Linked DNA regions of Caenorhabditis elegans. The protein of the gene in region 2 purifies or fractionates together with the protein of the main gene of each other region. This does not show direct contact. Each region holds a gene or a part of one and is shown on either strand. Other genes may lie near its edges. The genes, in order: Y48A6B.3, F53E10.6 and garr-1.

The links.
Region 1: the proteins of F53E10.6 (region 2) and Y48A6B.3 fractionate together in Caenorhabditis elegans (co-fractionation; one large-scale study listed by BioGRID). This does not show direct contact.
Region 3: the proteins of F53E10.6 (region 2) and garr-1 fractionate together in Caenorhabditis elegans (co-fractionation; one large-scale study listed by BioGRID). This does not show direct contact.

Annotation. Positions count from the first base shown.
Region 1 is NC_003281.10:11,006,551-11,009,454, reverse strand, and holds Y48A6B.3 (Putative H/ACA ribonucleoprotein complex subunit 2-like protein), read right to left. Parts: upstream 1,234-2,904; 5' UTR 1,225-1,233; coding exon 1,111-1,224; intron 1,061-1,110; coding exon 901-1,060; intron 856-900; coding exon 638-855; 3' UTR 526-637; downstream 1-525. Other genes in the region: exos-1 (Exosome complex component CSL4 homolog), read right to left, coding at 1-38, 86-204, 261-404; fipr-17 (FIP (Fungus-Induced Protein) Related), read left to right, coding at 1,853-1,996. UniProt on the Caenorhabditis elegans protein: Required for ribosome biogenesis. Part of a complex which catalyzes pseudouridylation of rRNA. This involves the isomerization of uridine such that the ribose is subsequently attached to C5, instead of the normal N1.
Region 2 is NC_003283.11:2,601,572-2,605,035, forward strand, and holds F53E10.6 (RRP15-like protein), read right to left. Parts: upstream 1,493-3,464; 5' UTR 1,490-1,492; coding exon 1,411-1,489; intron 1,286-1,410; coding exon 1,197-1,285; intron 1,133-1,196; coding exon 984-1,132; intron 931-983; coding exon 672-930; 3' UTR 582-671; downstream 1-581.
Region 3 is NC_003282.8:424,663-427,861, forward strand, and holds garr-1 (putative H/ACA ribonucleoprotein complex subunit 1-like protein), read left to right. Parts: upstream 1-1,505; 5' UTR 1,506-1,507; coding exon 1,508-1,840; intron 1,841-1,888; coding exon 1,889-2,290; 3' UTR 2,291-2,542; downstream 2,543-3,199. Other genes in the region: Phosphatidylinositol 3,4,5-trisphosphate 3-phosphatase and dual-specificity protein phosphatase daf-18, read right to left, coding at 1-225, 276-486. UniProt on the Caenorhabditis elegans protein: Required for ribosome biogenesis. Part of a complex which catalyzes pseudouridylation of rRNA. This involves the isomerization of uridine such that the ribose is subsequently attached to C5, instead of the normal N1.

The DNA.
Region 1 (2,904 bases), on a different chromosome or scaffold from region 2:
CCTTATCGCCGATACTGATGATGTCACATTTGGCGAATCTGCAATATTTTCTGTCGGTTTTCAGAGCAACGAAAAGCTGCTCTACCGTAATCCGACAGCCATCACTTTGGCGGTGACGATGGCTCCGTGGAATGGGAGAAGCTCATTGTCGAGCTGATCTTCGCTGCGGCGAACTTCGATCACTTGCACCAGGTTGTCGGATTTCTGCAGAAAAAACGGAAATTTTCGGGCTCCACGCTTGCGATTTGTGCGAAAATTACATCTCTGAATCCATAAACGTTGACAAAACCGGCTACCGACGCGAAGATCCTTCGATTCGCCTCGTATAATCCCTTCCCCATTCGATATTCACCAATCGCGTCGAGAACCTTGTCGCCGGGCGCCACAAGCGTTTCGGCGAGCATTTTCTGAGCTGAAAGTGGTTTAGAACGGGATTTGCTGTGATTTAGATTGATTTCGAGTAACAAAATTGAGTTTTGGAAATTACCGAGAAAGGATTAAAGAATAAAAAGAAAAAGTCTGTAGATAACAACAATTTAATGAGTGAACAATTGTGGATAAAGATGGTGATACAGATCAAGAAATTTTAAAAAATCAACAACAAAAAAAAAACAGTGAAAACCAGAGAAAAAACAATTTAGGCGGCCTCGACGGTGAGATGACGGAGAGCCTCGGCGACCTCGTCGTACAGCTCCTTGAAGTCCCCACTCGGCTTGACGAAGATCAGAATCGACGGGCGACGATGTCCGACGGCGAGTCCGAGCTGCTCACGAGATGGAATGTAGACGTATGGGATCTCCTTCTCCTCGCAGATTCCCGGAATATGTGAGTACACATCGATTGGAGAGACGTTTCCTGAAAAATTGAACGTTTTAAGGGAAAAATAGATTAAAATCCTACCAGCAAGAATGCAGATTCCCTTCTCGTTTCTGCGGAGCTCCTTCTGCACGTCCTTGATGCCCTCACGGAGGGTTTTATCGCCGGCGGAGGCCTTCTTGATGAGCTTGTACACCTTCTTGGCCAACTTGCGGTTTGCTAGTGGCTGAGCGATTGGGTTTACCTGAAAATAAGACATTTTTCATTAAAAAACCAGCGAAATTAATGATTTACCAGCTCGCAAAGTGCCTGGTACTCGTCCTTCTCGGTGGTTGGTGCGGTGGCGTCTCCATTGGCTTCTGATACGGTCGACTCGTTCATTGTCTCGTCCAGATTGCGCTTGCCCATTTTTTGATTCTGAAAATTCATAAGTTAATCGTGTAAATTAGCCGCAAAGTTCAATTAGCTTTAGGAAAAGAAAAACAATGAAAATGGGATTTTTGCAACAAAAAATCGATAAAAATCCTATTATGGGTGATTACATAGGAATTTTACGATATTTCATGGCTTAAAATTGATAAATATTATATTTCCGAATTTTAAAATTTAATTTTATCGAAAAAAATCGGAGAAAACCCGCAGAAAACTTCGAAAAATACAATAATTATGTGAAAATGCGTCAAAAGAGAAAAAAGAGAAATCGAATCGAAATGTGCAGTGGAGCGCGTTCGCCCACATCCCAGAGAGTGGAGACGCAGACAATTCGTTGGCGGGAATTCAAATTAGAGATTTTCAGGGAAATTCGTTTTGTTGAATTTTCAACTGTTCCTGACTCCGATTTTTGCAAGTTTTGCAGCCTCTCCGCTTCCCCGAAACGCTCAAACTTCAATTTTTACGAGTTATCATCAAAATCGCAACTAAAATATAACAATTTTATGTCCCCGAACCCCCCACCCGCCCCCTACACGGTACTATAAAAGCCAACTTCTTCCAGAATTCAAGCATCAGAAGCATCTTCTTCTTCTTCATCATCATCATGAACGTCTACTCTGTCTGCGTCTTCGCCATCTTGGCTATTTCTTCAGTTTCTGGAATCTTCTTGCCACAAGGAGGAAAGAAGTGCGGAGGAAGCAGTGGATACGGAAGCGGAGTCATCATCGGTGCACCACGTCCACAATAATTTTTGTGCAGTTTCTGTTGATTACTGATAAATATTGAACATTCAAACTCTGTTTTTTGGGCTTATAATCTTGTTAATCGCGCCGCAGGCCTTTCAGTTTTTAGGGCTTAGGCTTAGGCTTAGACTGAGGCTTAGGCCTAGGCTAATTCCTAGGCTTAGGCTTAGATGGAAAATCTATGACCTAATAAAATGGGACTTTGAAGTAGAAAGTTTGAAAAAAAAAAATCCCAAATTGGAGTTAATCTACGGGACTCTAAAGAAGTGCGAGACAAAATTAAAAAATTTCAAATTTATTTTTCTAGTCCAAAATGCTCCTACATATTGAGCAGTTTTCTGTTAGGTAGTTGAGGCTAGGTAGGCAGGCACGGTTTCAGGGCCTCACGAGAGGCAGGCGGAGGCCGCCTTAAGGTCAGGCAGGCAGGCGTTTTGGAACCCCTAACATTAACAATTCGACTTGCGTTGTATGATTTGAGTGTATTTGCAAACTTATATTTTCCGTGCAAATGATCACAAGGTTTTTAAGCATCGAAGCATACATCTTTGATGCTCCCGCTCCCGGAACTAACTTTATCGATGTGGGTGGAATAAAAGCCTTCCGATCACAAACCTTTTCCTCACTTCGGTTCTTCAAATGAACATTTATTGCGTTTTAGTGTTTGCTGTACTCTCCATCTTGTCGGTTGTTGGAAAACCTCGAGCTAACCATATTCGACCTGCCTCAGACCGACATATCATCATGGGATTCGACCTACCATCCAAGTTTGGATAATTCAAACTGAAGCAATTAATTTATGAATAAAAGTTGAACATTGTCTTGAAAATCTTGTTATGAAATTTGGGATAATCTGGTAATTTAGAACCATATGATTTTCCAGCACTTTTGAATTTTTGAAAAATACAGCTTTTAT
Region 2 (3,464 bases):
CGGATAATAGCCGAATTAGCCGAATTAGCCGATCGGCTGATTCGGCTAACTCGGTTAATATTAGCCGAATTATCCGTTAGCCGAATTTTGTACCAATTAGTCGAGTTAGCCGTCATAAACTTTTTAGCGCGTCGAGACCCAATCGAATAAATATGTATGCCTTTAAGGAGACACGTCGAAATCCTGTGAAATTATAATTTTTTTTTTCGACAAAAATGGAGTGAAAAAAGCGAATATGTTAGTTTTTCTGTCTATTTTTCTAGAAAAAAAATCAAAACTTTCGCTCTTCTGTGTATTTTTCGCCAAAAATACGAAAAGCCTACAAAAAATAAGGCCGATTTCGAATTCCTGCAAATTTCTTTCCTAAAATTCGCACCAAAATTTCCAGTGCCCAACAAAAGGACTTCAACTGCCAGGCGGCCGTCTACCGCAACTGCTGTGACTGGAACGCCGGTGTCTACATTTGTAACGTGGATGTCGCCGGATCGAAGGCAGTGAATCCAGCCTGCGTGAATGCTGGATTGGTGACCTGCCCGGCGCCAAGATAATTTTTTTTTGTTGCAAAAATGAATAAAATGGATAAAATGAAGGGTTTTTAATGAATAAAACAACAACAGAACAGAACAAAACAAAAAAAAAGAAAATTTGATAACAAAAAAATTTAAAAAAAGTTAATCCTCATCGCTATAATTCCCGGTATCGATTTGTTCCTCTCCAATATCCATCTGATCCTCTCCGTCGTCATCCTCTCCCTTCACTTCTTTCTTCGCCCCAACATATCCCGAATCCGCGAATCTGTCCGAATCAAAGTTCTTGCCGTCGAATCGTTGACGAGCTTCTCGTCTCTCGCGAGCCGTCATCTTCTCCTTCACCGCGTCGGACATTGTCTTCTGACGATCGGAGACGGCGTTGAAGAGCTGGACGACTCCTCTGCAAAAATGGGAAAATTGACTTTTGACCGCGAAAAAATATCAATTTCCTACTTTGTAGCGACTCTTCTCAAATTTCGTTCCTTCTCCCGGTCGGTGGTGATATCCGGCTTGACCAGAGCCAACTTAATCCGGTATTCCTTGACACTCTTCTTCAGACTTTGCTCCTTCTTTGTCAGCTTCTTGATCACCTTCTTCTTTCTCTGAAAATCGCAATTTTTAATTTAATTTGACGAAAAACCGGGGGTTTTTTTTTCGTTTTCTCACCCTCTCAATGGCTGGGAAGGCAACTGTCTCGTCGGCGTCGCCGGCTCCACCATCTACAGAGGAAGGGCCTTCTTCTCCGCTTTCTCCGCCTGAAATTATTGATTTTTCTTTCAAATTGCTCAGATTAACGTTTTTTTTATTTATTTTTAAACTCAAAATACACGAATTCAGTTCAAAAATAAGTGTTTAAAGCGAGGAAAAATCGATAAAATACCTGATGACATCTCTTCCCTCTCATTATCGTCGTCCGAGTCTTCTGTGACGACTAATCGATCGCGGTTTTTTGTCGACATGGTCTAAAAAATTCGAGGAATTTAAAAATATAAAAATTCTAAGGAAATTCATGAGAAAATAGCCTGAAAAATCGCGGAAATTGATTAAAAACCTTCGAAAAATGAATTTGACCGAGAAAATTGTCCGCTTCGGCCCCCGCACTTCCTCGTCCACGGCCATGCGAAATGCGCGGGCATTCAAATTGGGAAAATCGAACGGAGCTCAAAAAGCACATAAAAACATCAGCTAAAACACGGGAATGGATGTTAAATTGCTTTTTGAACGTTTATTTAAAAAGTTAAACGTCTATACTCCGCCCACTCGAAGAGCAAAATGAGAAAATGCTCGTTTGACAAGTTGGGAGGGGGTGAAGTGCTGCCTTTTTCAATTTTTTTTTGCTTTTTTCTTCATTTTTCTTGACTTGAAGATTTTTTTTTACATCTTTTACATCGTATTCTTGTTCAAAAGAGCAAAGAATTTCCTTTTGAATTTCCATCCAAACCACCCACAACATTTGATTTTGTCATTTGATATTACTTGCCGCTAGTGTTTCCGGTTTCGGAAAAAAAGGAAGGAAATCGAAAATAAATATTTTGCAATAAATATTTTTCATTTTCTATCATATTTTCGTGGTTTCATTGTTATATTAACCCTCCTTCCCAAGTTTGAACTGGTTTTCTCAATGGGGCGCGTTTGCAACCTGGAATTTTTAAAAAATGTGTTTTTTCGTCAATTTTTGGTGCCCCCGGAACTTGGTGCAACGGGGTAAGACAAAAAAAGCTAAAGGAAGAAGAACAAAAAACAAGCATTGTTCTCAAAAGTCACTTATCGCTTCGTTAACCCTGTTTAGGGATGTCGCGGTCGCCCCGTCGTTTTATTTTTTTTTGCTGCTTCGTTCCATAAACTTTTATTTCTTCTTCTTTTTTTTTGGATATGTTTTGAGGTGATTGAGACCGAAAAAAACATGAGAAAACGATTAAATCGCAATGGATGGGTCTCGCCGCGCTTTTCGAAAAATAAAGAAATAGTCGTATGTTCCTTTAAGTTGACCGTAGTAATATTGCTAAAAAAGTTTAAAACTTGTTTAAAACACAAAATTAAACAATGTTAAGCATAAATCATAAAAAAGAAATAGAAAAATAACCTATAACTAAAAGTTTCTCGTCTACAGTAACCCGAATTTAAAGGCGCATACACTAATTTTTTCGGAAAATAAATGTTTTTTCGTCTAAAACGCTTGTTTTTAAACAGTTTTCGAATAAAAAAGAAGGCCTATTTGAACGCTAAAAATGTTTTTTTAAGTCCGAAAAATGGTCAAATATCACACGGGTTCTGGCCCTCCTCATTGAATTTTTCGCGCTCCATTGACAATCGCCCGCCGGACAACGCGTGGGAAACTCGTGTACTCCACACGGACAAATACATTTAGTTTTACAACTAAAACCGAACCGCGACGCGACACGCAACGCGTCGTAAATCTTCCCCAGATATGGCCGAGACAAAATGGCCTAGTTCGAAAAACTCTTCCATTTCAATTTATGAGGGAAGCCTGACATCCGTGATATCAAGTGGGCTAGCGGGAAAAAAATTGCTGGCCGAGTTTTTTTTCTAGGCCACGTTGTAAAATTTCCAATTCTTGGCATCAGGCCCCGCTTTTTGAAAACAAAACTTCTTATTTTCAGAGCCTCCGCTAATTCGACCAATAAAAATGACACATTTGAAAAAGTTTCAGCGCTCTATTCTTTTTGCAGCCTTTTCAGACACCCGCTTCTAGATTTTTCTACTGGGGATTTTGTCGAAATGTTTACTCATGTCGGTTTAACCACAAAATGTTTTGTTTTTCTTTGTTCGGGGTAAATTTTGAAAAAATTGAATTCTGAAGAAAAAAAACGATCCGGAAACTGAAAATTCCAGTGAAACTGGAAAATTCGATTTTCCAAGTTTCAGATTCTTAAATTCTTTTTTTTTTTCAAATTTGTTTTTGATGCACCATAT
Region 3 (3,199 bases), on a different chromosome or scaffold from region 2:
TTAATTCGAGACTCGGCGGATGATGATCAGTCATATCGAAGCAAATAACATTTCCATCGAAGTTATCCGCATCGTAGTAGTATCCACCGCGCAGGTTAAACACCTTCACGTTGCCCTTTCCGTGCCGCCTGGTCAGAAATTGTTGAGTTTGAACTTTTGAGTTACGGAAATTCGCTTCGATTCCTGTTGCTGGATAACCGATAGCTATGATTCGGTCTGTGATATCTGAAAGTTTTGAAAATTGAAATGCTTTGAACTCAAGAGAAGTGCCTTACATGCACAATCTAGGTCGATATTTTGGTACTCGGTGCGACAACGATTGGAAGATACAGCCGTCCGAAAAATATGGCGAATCCGCTCGACGATTGAATTGTGATACGGTTCAGACACACGTGGTTCACCAGGTTGTCGGTTTGGATTCTCTTGAAGGTCACGAGCCATCGACCTGGTCGATGTGCTTGGCACATCTGGAGGAGGAGTAACCATTGGGGGTTAGTAGATGTACCTGGAAACTGCAAATTCATGAAGAGGAACGAATTAGAAGAGAATTTCAGCGAATTTTATAATTTAAACATTGTCAGGTGAAGTGTGATAGAATAGAATGCCAAATGAGCGCAAAGGATTAAGGGATTAACTAGCTCATGCTAAAGCTCAGATTTGTTCACGCAGAGAGCTCAGACCCGAGAGATACGAGAGGAGCAGAAAGACAGACTACATTTCCTCGTTAAGAATGAGCTGAAAAAGAGCTAGAAATCCGTTGAAAATCGCCAATATGCGTATTTTCGACTTAAAAAAAACAAGACTGATTTATTAGAAAATAATACCCGCCAGCGCCAATAGTAGAAGATCATATGAAATCATTTGATCAAAAAAGCAAAATTTTGGTCTACTGATTTATGAGCATTTTCAACCAAGAAATAGGAAGATTTCGGATATTTTTATAACCTACGTGTGGAAAATGTTTATTTGTATTGAAAAATCAAGAAAAAATGAATAAAAATTGTCGAAAAAGCAGATAAACACCGAAAAAGATCGGTTTCGCGGCGAAAAAACAAAATCCAAAAAATGTCTCTTAAAGGCGCACGCTAATTCAAACGGCACGGGTCTCGCCACGAACGCCTCTCTTCTCACTGCATTTTTCTCTTCTCTTCGATTTTTTTTTCGATATTTTTTAACGTTTTCCAATAGTTTTTATTGATTTTCTTGTTTAAAAACTGGCAAAAAACGAAATAATCGTTATTTATAAGTTGTATTTAGAGTCTAAAGTTTGTATAGTGCGATGAAATTCTTCGAAATAGGCGAAAATCAATTTCTTGTGATTTTCTTAATTTTCTCATATTTAGAAAATTGAAATTTCTGTGAATATTATGTACAAGAAAACCCCTTTTTGTTTTGCAATACCAATTTTTTCTATTGAATTTCTCAACAAATATATTTTTATGTCCAGTTTGATTTTATTTTGCACTTGAATAACTTTAAAGTTCAAAAATTGTTTGACATTTCAGAAATGAGTTTCCGTGGTGGACGTGGAGGCGGTGGTGGATTTCGAGGTGGTCGTGGTGGCGGTGGAGGCGGTGGATTCCGTGGAGGTCGCGGCGGTGACAGAGGTGGTGGCTTCCGTGGAGGACGCGGTGGATTCGGAGGGGGCGGCCGTGGAGGTTACGATCAGGGACCACCAGAGGAAGTTGTGCTCGTCGGTGTCTTCTCCCATCAGTGCCAAGATGATATTGTTTGCAACAATACGAGTGGAAAAATCCCATATTTCAATGCTCCAATTTACTTCAAGAATAAGGAACAAGTCGGAAAAATCGACGAGATTTTTGGATCCCCCGGGGAGAACGTAAGTAATCTCTTAATTGAAAATTAATCATAAATTTATTCGCTGCAGGGATTCTCCGTCACATTGTCACAAGGAGTAAAAGCCTCTTCATTCGAACCAGAGTCTCAGCTGTACATTGATCCCGGAAAGCTTTTACCAGTTGATCGTTTCCTTCCACAAGCCGGCGGAGGGCGTGGAAGAGGTGGTCGCGGACGCGGTGGGGATCGTGGAGGACGTGGCAGTGACCGTGGAGGTCGTGGAGGCTTTGGAAGAGGCGGCGGCGGTGGATTCAGAGGCGGGGATCGCGGAGGTTTTGGCGGTGGTCGTGGAGGATTCCGAGGCGGAGACCGTGGAGGGTTCCGTGGTGGCCGTGGAGGAGACTTCGGAGGTCGCGGACGTGGAGACTTCAAACGATCATACGATGGTGGAAGTTTCGGAGGACAGAATAATAAGAGAACTAAATTCGAATAATTGTTTCTTCTCTAAAAAACTGTATGTTCCAATTGTTTTCATCCTTTTTTTTTACCAATTGTTGATTTTCTTTGTTTTCCTTTTCTCATCTGCCCTCATTTTTTGATCACTTTTTTGTTGAACTTGTTGGTATTTTATACACATTATAATAATCATATAATTTAGTTATTTTATTTCACTAATCACACAGCGCTCTGAGGCAAGCATTTTTGGCGAATAAAATTTGGAGTTCGCATTTAAGCGCGCTTTGATATATCGTTCTTATAACATTTTTTAATCGCCGCAACCAAGTTCCAGCCATTAATTTGACAGATTACACTGGAAAATTATATATTTAGCTTGAGAACAAAATCTAGAAAGTAGTAAAGTAGCAATTAGCAATTGAAATTTTGCAATACAGGTTAACTTTTGAAATTTGAAATTTTAACAGAATAGAGCTCTCAATCAAAACGGCTGAAGATAAAAATAATTCTGAGCGATTTTCATTGTTCTAATCTCAGCAGTGTACATACTGTACCACGCCACAAAAGGCGGGGCCTAAATATGAGGTTTTCTGCAGTACACGCCACGCAGTTTTCTTATTTTGAGTGTATTGCGCAACATACTTGACGCGCAAAATATCTCGTAGCCAAAACTACAGTAACTCTTAGAAGGACTACTGCAGTAGCTACTGTAGCTTTTGTGTCGATTTACGGGCTCAATTTATTATGGTGCGTCCATAGTCTGCGGAAAACGAAAATTTCCCGCGACCCGAGGCGTCCATAGTATGCGGAAAAATTGAGCGAGTTTCTCGCTTCGTTATTGGTCAATTTCAAAAGTGGCCGTGCCCAACCAATTAGAGGCTGTAAAATTTTGAGCTGAACAATGGGAAAGTGGAAAAACTGCAGGCCACGCCTACTTTTTTGAATT